Alligator mississippiensis: one gene and its partner. The protein of the gene in region 1 interacts with the protein of each later gene in a pairwise test. Links are inferred from orthologs where the notes say so. Each region holds a gene or a part of one and is shown on either strand. Other genes may lie near its edges.

Region 1 (7,906 bases):
GAGGTGGTGCTTTTCCCTACCTTGAAGGTGTTCAAGAAGAGATTGAATAGGCATCTGGCTGGAGTTACTTAACCCCAGCGCTCTTTCCTGCCTGGAGCAGGGGGTCAGACCCGATGATCTGCCAGGTCCCTCCAACCCTAGAAATCTATGAAACCAATAAGGAAAGTAAATTCTGTCATGAATGCAATAAGCCAGCTCCTGTAACTATCCCTTGCACTGAGTAAGGAAGTTCCACTCCTCCAGAAGACTAGTCTTTTAATCTCCAGCCCCACTTTAATCTGTTTTCATTTTGCTGCCTTTATTTAATTTGGTTCTGGTAATATCTTGTAACTTTACAATACCATATATAACACTGAAAATGTTTTTTTAAAATTGTACGATGCTCAACACCTGCTGAACTAAATCCAGTTCTCAAGGACCACTATATCAAGCAACCACCATGATTTCTCCGTCCAATAAGCTATCATTGTATAGATGAATCCCTACCTTCTGTTCAGTTACCTGTGGCAGTGGTCCCACAGCCTACAGCAAAATAAAGTGTTAAGTGCTCTTCTACCTGTGTTGCCCCTCAGGCCCATTTAGGAGATGAGAACAGGGCCTGTACTCTTTGTTCCCCTACTTCCCTGTGTTTAAAGACAATTTAAAATGCTTTAATCCAAAAAATGTATATATTCTCTCCAGATTAGAAGCTTAATTAGTCTACCCTTGAAGACCAACATGATGAAAAACTAGTGAAATGACACCACAAGAGAATAGGCTGAAATCTGAGCAACTGATGCCTTGTCTAGACTAGGATTTAGAGTATTATATGAGTTAGCATGCTTGTGCATTTTAAAGAGTAGACAAAGTGCATTACTTTTAACACACATCAAGCGGGGGGGGGGTCAAAGACTTTATTTAACATCATATTGCATGTTAAAGGCAACATATGCCTTGCCTACACTAACATCTTAAAACTTGGTCGCTTTGTTAACAATCTACATTTTAGTTACTTGTATAGGAAGGGCTAGAAGAGAAAGTACATTTATTCCTACTGTTTAAAAAACATTTTGGGCACATCTATTTAGTTCCAATACTTAAGGGAAACTAGATTAAAAGAATGTCTTTGTTCAAAATTCAACATCCTACTCCTTCAGTTAGCTGTGAGCTCTTACACTTTAAATAAGGCAAGCAGCACAAAAATCATGGTTTGGGAAAATTATTTAAGGTCTTTTCACACAAATTAGGTTATTTTAAAGACAGACTCAAAGGACATTTCTAGACAAAGAAACAGAAGGTATTTAGGATTGTGTGCGTTTCCTAGTTATGCTTTTGTAATTTACAAATCTTCCTTTTGCTAAACTTAAAAGTGAAAACTGGGCCAACAACGTATTGTAAATTCTTCAGTTGAAGAAGAAACTGAAGGATATACCTATGTTCCGAGACCAGACTGGCAAATTTTGCATGTACAGTGTTTATTTCCACATCACAATGGGATGCCAAGCCAACGTTGTGGTATCTCTGGAAAAACAGACTAAGGTGGCCAGTTTTCAGGTTAACACGCTACTCGGAGCATAAAATCTAGTAAGTGTAAATAAATATCAGAATTTTTTAAAGAAAGACTATAGTTTTTAACAATTAATATTTCTTCACATGATTTTTTTTCCCCAACTACTCTTTCTTGATAGGTAACCTAGTCTGAAATTTAGGCTGTCAATCCCTAAAGCTGTTTAAAAGAAAGTTTTCCAGCCTCCTTTGACTGGTCAGAAGTCATCCCACCATTCACCAATTCACATTTTCATGTTCTAGAACACGAACTGTTTACCAAAAAAAAAAACACAAAAAAGAAGTCACACCAAGATATCCCTCAGTAATCAGAATGCAATGTCACTATTCTAAACATCCATAACAACCTACACAACTCGCTTATTCAAAATGCCAGCCTAATGCGTAACCTGTAAGCAGCGATTATGTATAGATTGGTAGACAACGACTCATATTTGGCTCAGTACCGACATGTGTCGTGCATCTTCCATGCTTAATTCAGAGGCAGAAATTCCGCAAGACTCACAGCCACGCCAATACACAGGATTCGGTCACATGAGATGAGCGTCTTGAAGACTTGCGTATTTTCAGTGCACTAGAGTGCCCAGTGCATATGCTAACAAGAATGAAGAAAAACTTGCTCACTAGACCCAAGCCTCTTTATAAGAAAAACTACACAGACCTGAATGTGCCTCTCATACCTGAACACGTTGTGGCCTACACTACAGTTTCCCTTTCTCTAATGCAAGGGAGAAAGTATTTAAAACTTTTCAACAGTGTTTTCTCATTAACACCATCAGGGCTGGTCCAAAGAAAGCAAAACCTTGAAGGGACTCTCCTTTCAGTATGTGGCAGGTAGCCACCCACCCAGACATGCTTCCTAGGTAGCCCCAAGCCAGCTCCCCCAGGGAAATCAAAGGGCGGGCTGCAGGGAGGCTGTACAACTGGGCCTTCGGATGCCTTCAAAAGGCTGCTGGGAGCTGCACAGCCTTAGCAGGCTCAATTCAAAGGCAGGTCAACCCCGGCGCCTCCCAGGCGGGGGACGGACGGCGTCCAGGACCAGGGTTGGGTTCCTCCGCGCTCCCTGGGCCGGGTCCGCCCGCCCGTGGGGACACCAGGGAGGCTCCTACCCAGGTCCCCAAAGTTTCCTAACGCGTCCCCAGCCGGGCAACGCAGGACACTGTCACCCCGGGAAGGGCCGAGCGGGGCCCTCAGGGGCTGAGGCCCGGGGGGCAAGGCAACCCGGGGCCTGGCCAGGCTGAGAGCGGTGGGGCCAGCGCGGCCCAGCCCCGAGGGCCCCAGAGACAGGGGGCCGGGCCGGGCCGACCCGGGGGCAGTGGCAGCCGCCCCCCGCGCAGGCGCACGCAAGGAGCCGGGGGGGGGGTGCTCTGACCTCCTCGCTCTTCAGCACCTCCTTGAACTCCCGCTTGATCCTCTGCACCGCGATGTTGGCCATGTCCGCAGCGGACACCGCCCCGCACCCGCTGCCGCCGAGCCAAGCCGAGCCGAGTCGGGCCCCGCGAGCTCCGCCGCCGCCGCCGCCGCCGGATAAGTCCCGGCCCCACCAAAATGGCGGCGGCGCCGAGCATGCGCGCTGTAGCGCCCGCCACTCAGGAGGGGCCGTGGGTGCGGGCCCGGCCCGCTCCAGCTCCGGCTCCAGCTCCGGCTCCTGCTCCCACTCCCCGAGCCCTGTGCGAGGCCACCGAGCTTCTGCCGTCTGTCCGCGAGGACCGCACCGCCGGGGCTGGGGCCAGGTTGTGATGGCACCGGTGTGATATCGCCCCCGGCCGCGCTGTTGCGTCCAGCTAGCGCCCCCGGCCCGGCCTCCCCTCCGCGCCCCGGGCGGCTGCGGCGGCGGGAAGGAAGAGGCGGCTGCGGCGGGTGATGAGGCGCGGGGTGAAGCCCCGGGGCCGGAGCGGTCTCCCCAGAGCCCCTGGGCGGGGGTGATTATGAAGGGCCTTCCCTTGAGGACCCTTTGCAGAAGAGCCCGGCTCTCTCGTGCCCCCCAGCCTGAGGGCGCGGGGGGACTTGGGGGCTGGCAGCTGTGGGGAGGCTGTGGCAGCAACTGTCCCTTCTGCTGCCTTGCACCCCAGGGAGGACTGCGCATGCTGGCCCGGCTCCTGTTCTCTTGTACAGTACTACAGAGCCACTGCACCAGGAGAGAGGGATGAGGGACTCTTAAGTCAGAGGGCCCCATGAATACGCTGGTCAAGGAGCATGAGGCAGCAGTGGTGACAGAAAGGCAGGCCGCTACGGTTCAGGAGCACGAGTAACATGGAAGGACACCTTCAGAAGTGGGTTCTGCCTGGTTGCTGAAAAGCAAAGCAACTCAAAGCAGTTTCACAGAAGAGCGGTGAGAGCTGGTTGTATAGGAAACCACAGTCAGGGATTGCCCTGGGCAGTAGTGACAGACCTTGAATCTGCACTTCCTTGACCTTAAGTGCTAGAGACTGCAAGTGGGACAGAAATGGTGTGAAGAAAAACCCTGGTCATACCCGGTTTGCTCGCCCTTTCAGCATCTGATCTCTGCTACTGTGTGATATAGGCCTCTTTGATGTGAACAGGACCTCAGGGTTACAGTGGACATTAAACTGAATATGAGCGAGCAGTGTGCCCTTGTTGCCAGGAAGGCTAACAGCAAACTGGGCTGTATTAGTAGCAGCATTGCCAGCAGATCAAGGGCAGTGATTATTCCCCTCTATTTGGCACCACTGAGGTGTACCACCTGGAGTACTGTGTTCAGTTTTGGGCCCCCTGCTACAAAAAGGATGTGGACAAATTGCAGAGTCCAGCAGAATGCAACAGAAATACTTGCCGGGCTGGGGTACATGGTTTCTGAGGAGAGGCTGAGAAAACTGGGTTTTATATAGTCTAGAAAAAAAGACAGGGGATTTCATAATGGCCTTCAATTACTTAAAGGGGGGTTGTTCCAAAGAGGATGGAGCTAGACTGCTCTCAGTGGTGGCAGATGACAGGACAAGGAGCAATGGTCTCAAGTTGCAGCAAGGGAAGTTCAGGTTAGATATTAGGAAAAAATTTCTCACTAGGTGTGTGGTAAAGCACTGGAACAGGTTAGCCAGAGAGGTTGTGGAATCTCCATCCTTAAAGGTTTTTAAGTCCTGAGTAGATAAAGCCTCAGCTAGGATGATATAGTTGGGGGGTGGTCCTGCTTCGAGCAGGGGGTTGGACTAGATGTGACCTTCTGAGGTCCCTTCCAACACCAATTTTCTATGATTTTATGTGCATTGGGAATGTGAGCCAGTGCCCACCAAGTAAAACTAAAAGCCCCACTTAGTATGGGGGGCCATTAAGTACACACCAAGTGATTACAGAGGACAAATAAAGAAGAAAACAGGAATGGGAATGAAAGTCAAAGGTTTAAAAAGAGTGCACCAAGGGAGGACACAAAGCAGAGCATACTGGATACTGCCCACTGGCCTCTGAATGAGTCCAAGGAGCCAGTAGACACTGCCCAGTGAAACCCTGCCCAGATTTGTGAACAGCTCATGGATAGGAAAATGGCCACAAAGTCCCCAGGGATCCTCCCAGCCAGAGCCCCTTTCCTGGTCAGGTAGATCGCTAGCTGTGTGACATAGGATACTGGGCAAGATGGACCTCTGGCAGGGGTGGGCAAAATATGGCCTATGGACTGGATCCAGCCTGCCAAGGGATTTTATCTGGCCTGAAGCAGGTCCCTTGGCCCTGTCCGGCCCAGACACAGGGTAGGGGGGTGCAGCCCAGGCCGTGGCATATACACCTGGTCCTGCTGCCCCTAGGCACACAGCAGGGCTGGGGTAGCGCAGCAGCCAGACTCTGCTTTCCTGTAACTTTGGCAGCGGCAGCTCTATACACCCCCATGGGCAGGGTGCGCTCGGTCAGGTGGATGGGATGGGATAGGATGGAATGGGATGGGGCCACTGGCAGGAAACAGCAATCGGGCAGGATGGGTAGGCAGGGCCGGGACCAAAATTGCAGGATGGTGACAGCACGGAGCCAGGGCCTGAGCAAAGATATACTCTCCGCACAATGGATCATGACCAGCCCAGCCCAAGAGTGGGGTGGAGTGCATACCCGTGACCTGGCCCCTGCTGCCCCTGCCCCATCACAGCACATGCAGACAGCCAAAGTATAATGTGGCTGTAAAGCAGCCCTGATAAATCATGACCAAATCAGGCTACCCCACATTGCTGGGCTGTGCCGCTCCACAGCCACACTGTACTGGGGCTAGCCATGCACAACTGTGCTGGGGTCGGGGCTGGGTCATGGGTGTGTGCTCTGTCCCCCTCCTGGGCAGGGCCAATCATGATCCATTGTGTGGGGAGTGGATCATGGCTTGGCCCTGTGCCCGGCCCTAGCCCTGCACTGTCACCAATTTTCCATCCTGGCCCCATCCCTATCCACCCATCCCACTCTGGATGCCGCTCCCTGCCTGCCCACAGTCCCATCTCATCCACCCGGGTGAGTGCACCCTGCCCACAGGGGTCCCAGGCCAGTCTAGTAACCTACCACTTAGGGAGTTCTGGTGAGCTGTTGCAGGTTGGGGGAGTGAGGGTGCCAACCTGGCACAGCAGTGGGGGTTGCTGAATGGGTCCACAACAGCTCACCAAAACTCCCTAAGTGGCCCTCCAACCCAAATAATTTCTCTCCTTTGACCTATGGTCTGATCCAGTAAAAGGTAATTCTTATGTAATGCTGTGAATGTTGTATCTGGCCAGTTTGGGAAGCCATCCGTGTAGTCTCAATAAATGCTATAGGGAATGGATTCTTTAGAACTGATTCCAGTGGCTTGTAGTTGAACTCAGCTGTAGCATGGCTGCAATGTATGCATACTGTTGTTTGTTTGTTTCCAGCCCTTCATACAATGTGCTTAGTGCTGCACAAAACAACAATGATACAGGCTCTGTTAACAAAACTGCTGACAACAAAATAAAGCTGTACTTTTTATTTTGGTGAGCACTCTTCCTCCACAACATAACTAATGTGTGGTCTCTTTCCCTGGGATAACATTGTCCCATGCATGTTCTTAGCTGTATCCATTTGTACAATTAATTTTTTAGTATCAAATTTGCTTTTGACACAATATATAACACTTACAAAGGGAGGCCTAATCTTGTGGTTAAAAGACCCTATCAGTCACAAGATCTAGATTTGCTTCCTTTTTCTCAGGCTTTGTGTGATCTTGGGCAAAAAAATGAGGCCTACATCTTCAGAGATATTCCAGCATCCAGCTACTATTGCTGTAATTATCAAGCAGAGTGTTGTAAGATCTTTTTAAGGATGAGGTGCTGCACAATACTGGTATTAGTACTGTAAGGTGTACAAACACCTACACAATGCACAAAATAAACTGAGAGATTTCAAATAGGACTCCATAGTGTCAAAAACATTCAGAACTGTTGTGTTCTTTCTGAGTTTTTTTCAGCAAAAGAATTATTCCATTATTTTTTCATAGTCAAAAAGGATTGAATGTTCAAAGCAGTGCCTTGAGTCTAAAAATGTTGAAAACCACTATCCTGTTGACTTAACTGGAAGTTACATGCTTAAACAACTACAGGTCTCTGGGCCCTAGCATCTCTGTACGTCAGTTCCACAGGGGTATAATGGGGAAGATAATGGTTTTCCACCAGATAGAAGTTTTGTAAAGATAAAGTTTGTAAGGTGCTGAGGTACAGACAGTCCTTGACTTACAACGTTTTGAGTTACAACGTTTCGCACTTACAACATTTATAAATTGACACCCTGTTTCAACTTTCTGACATCAGTTTCGACTTTACAACGCTTGATCTGATGTGACACCATGGCAGCGAACAAGTCGCTGTGTCGCCCATCTCCCTGGAGAACATCTGTCCAAACTTCCTTGGACACTTCCTTTAAGAAATCAGACAAGACTCTAGAAAAACCTGCAGCCTAGACTCCTGAGAAGACTCCAGCCAAAAACCCTTCAAAAAGTCCAACCGAGAGCCTTTCAAAAAGTCCAGCAAAGTCACCTCAAAGAAGTCTTTCCAAATCAATATGATTGCTATTTACAATATAAATACATTAATGTAGCTATATTACTCATCTATAATTGATCGAGTACAAAATTCTGAGGTATTTTTAGTGAAAATAGGGTATCGGGCCTTGATTCAGGAACTGATCCCCCATTTATAACATTGTTTCTTATGAGAAAATTGGTTCTGAGTTACAACGTTTTGACTTAAGACACGGTTTTCAGGAATCAATTGTGTCCTAAGTCTGACGACTGCCTGTATTCTAAAGGAGAGCTATTGTCAAGCCTATAAACAAACTAAATTAGTATTCAATTTTAACAGAAAAAGGTATTTTTCTGTTAACCCACAATGGTGAGAAGCTGTACTTCTAATCTACAGACTTTGTTCAGTAG
Region 2 (7,645 bases), on another chromosome or scaffold:
TAACCCTGGATCATGGTTCACCCCAGTTGTCTGAGAGCCTTCCTCTTCTAATGTCACAGGTTATGAGACCAGATTGCCCTCTGACCCTTTTGTTTGCCCTACCTGCTAAATCATCACCAAGGGAAAGGATGAAAGGCTTTATATCAAGGTATATTAGATAATATTCCTATACTGCTCTGTATCTTGTCCCCACCACTCCCTATAAAAAGTTTGGATAGGTTTTCAGCTATAACAAACACTGGTGTATATCTGAGGTTCTAACCTTAAAACAATTTGCCATTCAACATTATTTGTTCAACAGAAATGTAAGTAAGGAACTGGTTTACTTAAGAACAGCCAGTGTGGAGCTGAAAAAAAAGAAAGCTAAACTTCTCAGGATATTGTTCCTGAACTTTGTTGAAAGCCCCCTCCCCCATGCCCTCCCCAAAAAAGAAAAAGCAATATATGATCTGGACAATTGATTGAAATATCTGGTAATTTTTTTCAAGTCCTAGCTTTATATAACACATTATTTTTTAAGACCATGGGAATGGCATGGAAGGAATGAAACCAGAAAGGGATGATTTACTTGCATGCCTGTCCTGCAACAAGCGTGTCACAATTCACCAGTGCAATGTATTCCCTGTGCTTGCTGGAGTAAACAGTGCAAACAAAGCTGCTCAGATACAAGGACAGTAGAGCTTTGCATTTTGAGCTTCATTGAAGCCACACACCATTCACTTGGAGAAGGGAGCAGCAAAACTGGCTATATGCCTCCTTTTATGGTATACAGATTCTGGGGGTGGCTACTGATCTGACCAATCCTTAGGAAGCCGAGGAGAGCCAAAACAATCAAGCCTATAATGCCACCCTCTCCCCCCATACCTCTTTTTACCTAAATACTTGCTTTCACCATCTTGCAGGTTGATTTGTGCTGCCACACAGGGCTGTCTGCATAAAATACACAGTTGTAAAGAGACTCATGTGAGTACTCCCCACAGGTTTATTCTTTTTTCCTTAGGCTGCTATTAAGGTAACCCTGATCCATACCTGAGATAAAGTTTTAGGTCTCAAGTTAGGGGCAGCAATTGAGGCATGACTCAGATTAACATTGCAATGAAAGCAAACCCTAAAACTACTCACTGGCAATCTAAATGACTTGTGTCAATCAGATCTGGGAGATAATTATTGAAGTTAATGGCTTTAAAAGGATCAATCTGTGTAATTTATGTTAGATTTCCATCTAGTAGCATAACTGGGGGGAGAGGGGGGATACAAAAACAGCAGCTGCTGCAGCTGCCAGTTGGCTCCACCACCACAAGTAGCTGCACTACCTAGAGTCCAGGGCCTGTTATGCCTCTATTTCCACCTTCTGTCCTTCCAGACCTGTTCTGCCCCTTTCTCCTGCCCCCAGGAGGAGTGGAAAAAAGTTGTTGTTGTTGTTCTTCTGGTTTTATTTTTTTTCATGGTTTTGCTGCATTTTTTAGGAGGAGGAGGGTTTAAAAACATCATTCTATTTGTCTGTATTCTGGAATGACTATTTTAAAAACATTTTAGCCAGCTGTCTTTATTTAAGAGTGAAACTGGTAGTAACAGAATATATTTAAAAAAAATGCACTACATTAAATGTGTTCCTGCATAAAAATAGTATTATAGTCTTTACAAACTGTGAAGATGAAGTCATTATTTACATGCGGATTACTAAATAATGAGCCTATCAGAAAACAGTAAGGAGAAATGACACAAAACCACACACAATGTTATACAAAGCCAAATAAAATGTTACAATACAAATATCCACTTGTTACACAAAACCAAATAAAATGGTACAAGTATCCAATCTAGACAACCATATGAATAACGATATTCATCATCTCTCATCCATCTAAGTAGGCTTCCTGGTTGAACAGTCTATTTATTTAAACCGGAGCCTTCAGCTACATAAACCTTCTGGAGCAAGAGTGCCATAAGTATACTTGTTTACTTAATCCACTTTCCAAGCACAGTAGGCTAAGCCAAATGGAGGCACTCTTATTCATGAAGAATGGTGTCCAGACTCTGTGTCCATCTGAAATAGCTATGCCAGAATGACTCCAGAGGTAACAAATGAACCTTAATGAGGGCTATAGAAAGAGGATGGATTGGCGTAAAGGCCTTGTGCTTATCTCTATAATCCTTGCGTGCATTTTCCTTTATAGAGCAGGGGTTCCTAAACTGTGGTGCATGTGCCCCTGGGGTATGCAACACATCTCTGGGGGGTACACTGGAGAAATTGTGTAATGGCGGATTTGTCATGATAAGAATGATTGGCATTTAAAGGATTAAAACACAAAACCTATGCTGTTAGGGTTACATGGGCAGCTAGTAAATCTGGAAGGGGGTAGGCAATAAGAAAAAGTTTGGCAACCTCTGCAATACAGCTTTGGGGTTTTTTTTCCACCCCAGTTCATGTTGACAAACTCAAGCAGAGCCAAAATTTCCAGCCTTTGCTCAGCAGAGGGGAGGGACTGTCCATGTCCATACAGAGGACACTCCTCACTCCACTCCAGCCCTTTGCCCCCAAAGATCTGAAAACACTACGGAAACATGGGCAGGCAAGGGAGAGGGGGCACCTTGGGACCCCTGCCCTGCCAGCTGCTCTAGCTCCTTTGTTTTTAAGCCTCAAAGGTTACCTGGTTCTTTTAAGTGCCTGTCCCTGGCTGGGGTTAGCTGGCAGGAGGAGCCCCGGATCTTTGCTTTTCCTCCGTGGCACAGCGGGCAGGGCAGGGAGCCGTGCGATCCTCTGCCCCTGCAGAGCTGCCCTTCACGGGCGGAGAAACGCTGCTGTTCCCGGGGGAGCAGGCTGAAAGCCCTGCGACGCAGGCACCGTGCTTCAACCTCCCTGCCGCCCTCCCTGCCCCGCTCCGCGGCGCGGCGGGGCCCGGCCGCACTCACACGTGTCCGCACTGCGTCCGCACGGGCTGGTGCAGCACCTCCAGGCAGATGGAGCAGTCGAAGGACGACGGCGGCCGCGGCTCGGCAGCTCCGCCCGGGCCCCGCGGGGGCTGGGGGGCGCCGGCCGCCGCCTCGCTGCGCAGCGCGGAGCCCATGGCCGCCGCCTGCCCGCTCGCCCCTCCGCACCGCCCAGGTCACTCTGGGCTGGCCCGGCCCTGCAGCGTCCTCCGCCTGAAACCCGAGCCCTGCCGGCCGCCCCGCTCCCTGCCCCCAGCCCTGCAGGGCCCTGCTGCTCTCTGCGCTCCCCTGAGCTGGGGCAGGACCCGACCCTGCTGCTTATTGCCTGTGCTTCCCAAGGCCCTGCTCCTCCCTGCGCTTCCCCTGAGCTATTTAGGTGGGGATACTTGTACCAGGTGACACTCTGCACAGGAGAGCCGTGCCCAGCAGAGCACCCGAGCTAACAAGGACCCTCACTTCAGATGCCCAAGGCTCCCCTTCGCATTTCCTCTTTAGGTTAGATGTGCTTCTGAGCAGGCCTCTCTCAGTCACAGTGCTGATGCCCGGGGTGGCGTGACAGACCGAGGTAGCTGGGATAGCCTGAAGTCGAGGAGAAGGCGTCTGGTGAAGGAAGCTTCAACCCATGAAAACTTGTGCTTTATGTATATGTAGCATATATATATATGTCATAACCAAAGTGTGTGTGTGTGTGTGTGTGTGTGTGTGTGTGTGTGTGTGGCCTGTATAGATACATAGGGCACAAACTGATCTCCCCACAGCTGTGAGGGAGCAGCCCCTGAGCTGGGACAGCTCCCTCTGCCCCCCGGGGTACGGGAGCAGGTCCTGATCTCTGCCCAGTTGGAAGAGTTGCGTCCATGCCACATAGGGATCCAGACAGGTCCCGATCCCCACATGGCTGGAAAGACTGCTGCCCCTGCTGCCAGCACACCTCTTCCGGGCACATGGGGATCAGGACCCATCCAGATCCCCACTTGGCAGGGAGACGGCTTCCCCTGCAGTGGGCACAGCTTCCCCTACATCAGGGCTTCACCAGGCAGCCTGGGCTGACAGGGAGCAAATTGCGCCTGGTCAGACTCGGTGTGCTACTGCACAGTAGGTAATGCACTGTTAATTTAGTACCTCTATTTCCTGCTATTAGCTAATGGTGCATTAGCCTAATTTACTGCACAGTAAATCCCATGCACGTATAGGCAGTGACATTGTAATGTGCAGTAAAGCGTCTCGTATAGATGTGCCTGGTGTGCTTAAAATGGAAGCAACAAGCAACAGATTAGCTATGCCAGGGACCTTGATGCTGCTAATGTAGGAGGAACCGCAATTTCTTAAAATTTGTCCTTAGTGTCAAAAGGTTCATTGTTTCAGAAGCAGACAGCTATGCAGCAGATTAACTTCTGGAAGCACAGAAGAAATACAAATTACATCCCTCCCTTTCCTCCCACTTCTGCCTCATGCAGCCATTGGGGCAGCTGCACTGGAGTGCAGATGCATCTGAGAAGGCACTCATCTGAGAAGACACTTGTATTTAGATATTTAAAAAACCCTTTTCTATTAGTCATGCTAGTTCACAGACCCTTTAATACATGAAAGGGTCAAAACTTTTGGATAAGACTGATTTTTAAAATCCAGCAGGCTGGAATCCAAAATATCAAACAAATATTGGCATTAGCAGAGCTGTTTGCCTCACAGCAGATTATACTGTAAACAGAATACCTACATGTAATTACTTTTACAAGTTGGTTTGTTATAATAACCCAGAGAAACCTCTCATGGGTGACCTGTAAAGGATTTTGGAAAACTGGGTTTGCGAACCTTCTTATTTGTATCTTTTTGATATATAAGGGAGGACAGTAAAGTTCAGTTAGCTTTTATGTAAGGAAGCTGTTGTTGCTTATTTGTTTGTCTTTTGACTGTCATGTATCACAGGTCTGGTCTTTCCCTAATTTCAATGGAGGATTGCTTATGTGTGTGTCAGGGATATAATTCTCCTACCTTCACTAAATATGCCTGTAGTGTTGGATCTTTCACAAAGATATCTTTTTTTCCAAAGTACATAAAAAGTTCTTCCAAAAGTTAACAAAGAATACTGTTACAAGTGATCTGAATAAAGACCTTTCCACTCTCAACAGCTCAGGTTTCATTTTATTTTCAAAATCATTGCTTCACTACCTCTCCATAGAGTCTTCCTAGATAAACAAGACATGATTTTCTACTGTAAGAAATGCATTGTTTGTTTGTTTGTTTTTAAGAACAGCCTTTAGTTTTCTAAGTACGATAAAAATAAATAAAAATGGGAACTTAATTTTTTAAATTTTTTTAAAGTTCTCTTTAAAATGGGCTGGGCAAAAGAATCCTGGAATGAATCCTCATGTAAGAAGAGTAAAGAAAAATAATATTTCACCAGTTTATGCTTGCTTACACTTTCTTACTATTTTTTTTAAATCTGTAAATATTTTGCAGTCTGTTAGTCATCCTGGTATATCTGCTTTTTGCTAGTTTCCAAATCTCAATGAGTTTGGAGGAAGATTGTAGGTTATCAGATATAGTTACATTGTTGTTTCACTGATTAATGGTCTGTAAAATAAAATAACTTCTGTACTGGTGAAAGGTCAGTATATTTATGCAGCATTGTCTTAGGATACAGTTTAGTAATGATTTGCAACATTACTTTATAAATAAAAGATTTTTTTTAACTCCTTCTTTTGAAAGATAGTTTTTAAAACAGCCCTTTCGTTACGTGAAAAGAAGGTGGGGCAGAGTTTTGAAATTAGTTATTCAAAGGAAATCAGGAAACAGGTTATAAACAAGGGCAACAGAAATCTGTAAGAAATCGTAAAGAAATCTGAAGTTATCTTCCATTTCCTCCCTATGTCAGTGGAATTTCTGATTGTTTTCCTACCTGGTTCTAGCACAGTGTACCATTTGTTGTTCTTTTTTCATATTAAAAGGAGCCTAATTTGCTTAACATATTTTGAGTTTGTCAATATCATCATGAATTTGGATAAGTATTTTCTGTAGTTCAGTATCTTTGCATAAAAAAATGCAACCTGCTCTTTAATAAGAAACAAAAAGGGAAAAAGTATATTTGGCATAGTTTTATCCAACACTGATACAAAAGACTTTAGAAATGCATGTGGCAAATAAAAGTAATATTATTTATGAGAAGAACACAGAGAATGTCAGTGTCTTTGTTGCTGGATGCAGGATGTAATCCTTCATTCATTGTACTCAAAATATATAATGAAGTTAGAGGAAGTTTTAGGGGATGGACGAATGCAGGAATAAGAAAAAAAGTTTTATTGTTCCTGCCAATCCTCTCATGGAGTGCAGGTGTGCCTCACATGGAAATTACAACTCAGTGGATTTACAGGAGAGGGAGGCTCGGACACACAGTGTATTTCTGTCATTTTAAGAAGTAAACTTATGATGCACAAACCTGAGCTGGTGTAGCTCACTTCAGTTCGGTGTAGAATTACTCAGGGAAAAATAATGGGTAAAACTACATTGAGGTTAAATACTCCGGGGTACATGTTGTGTGTCTGCAGCCATTCCTAAAGTAGCTGTCTGCTCAAAATACACAGGTGGCAAGGCACTGTAATAGTCACCTTCTGTCTGAAGCTACACAGAGGCTGCATCTACACGAACCGCCGACTCCACAATTGTTACTTTGCAGTCATTTAGTACCAGTGTTACTGCACAGTCCTGTATCCGCGCAGTTATTTTTAGATGCTTCTGCGCAGTAGCTTGTTACTATTGCACAGTAGTGTTGCCATCAAGGTTCATGCCCAGCGACACTACGACACTACGGCGCTTTGGCAATGAGCCCGAACTTCAGTGATGCAACATGATAACAGTACCATTAGCCAATGGAGTGTTTATCTGTTCAATTATCTCCAAAGACAATGCAAGAAAAAGCAATCCGTGACTGACTAGAGCCTTCCTGGTAAATTAGACTATTCTTAAAGATTAACCACACTCTGACAATTTGAACATGAATAAAGTATGAAATCCATTAAATCTCACTTTATTAAAAATACATATTAACAAGGAATTAAGCATCTATCTGTAATGTGTGGAACAAAAAATTGCTTTATCACTGGAGAGATAAAATGGAAGTCTCATACAGCTAGTAGTAAAATGTATAGAGGTTTAAAAAAGTGTAGGTGATAACTTTCTAATATAAAAGATATTCCCCTTTCCTCCCCATGGAATAGCTCTATTTCAGATCTCATTATAATAGATAAAGAAGAACTTGATCGATAGATAGAAAGTTGGTGTTTTTCTTGGAAACAGTGATTATGACCTGTTCACATTCCTTAGGAGCAGAGAACAGTCCCAGACACAATATATTGCTGATATGTATTGTAAGCAGTAAGTAATTCCATTCCATTGCAGGATATGGAAGCACTTTCTGGGTTTTATGATGGGTAAGTGAAAGGAATGACATCTAGAATCCTGTGGAGGAAAGCGAGACATTACAAAAGCAGCTGTTTTCTTCAAGATGTAGGTTTCCCTTCAACCTTTCTTGCCAAGTATCCCCTTTCTGTCATCTCTGTCTCATAGTATAGAAGTTTGCTCCTTGTTGTCTGGCACCCTCTGCTATTGTGTTCACATCTGACAAGCATCAGATTAGCAAGCAGTGTTGCACTCTTCCTTGATTATGTAGGCCAAGCTCTATGGAAAGCCAGGCTCTGTATATCTGTGGGCCTGCAATGGA

The links.
Region 2: the proteins of UBE2K (region 1) and RNF125 interact in a two-hybrid assay, tested with the Homo sapiens proteins (2 studies listed by BioGRID and IntAct). The link is inferred for Alligator mississippiensis from reciprocal best matches to the Homo sapiens genes UBE2K and RNF125.

The regions. Positions count from the first base shown.
Region 1 is NC_081825.1:50,895,654-50,903,559, reverse strand, and holds the start of UBE2K (ubiquitin-conjugating enzyme E2 K), read right to left. Parts: upstream 3,084-7,906; 5' UTR 2,981-3,083; coding exon 2,918-2,980; intron 1-2,917. UniProt on the Homo sapiens protein: Accepts ubiquitin from the E1 complex and catalyzes its covalent attachment to other proteins. In vitro, in the presence or in the absence of BRCA1-BARD1 E3 ubiquitin-protein ligase complex, catalyzes the synthesis of 'Lys-48'-linked polyubiquitin chains.
Region 2 is NC_081826.1:81,058,923-81,066,567, forward strand, and holds the start of RNF125 (E3 ubiquitin-protein ligase RNF125), read right to left. Parts: upstream 3,084-7,645; 5' UTR 3,069-3,083; coding exon 2,914-3,068; intron 1-2,913. UniProt on the Homo sapiens protein: E3 ubiquitin-protein ligase that mediates ubiquitination and subsequent proteasomal degradation of target proteins, such as RIGI, MAVS/IPS1, IFIH1/MDA5, JAK1 and p53/TP53.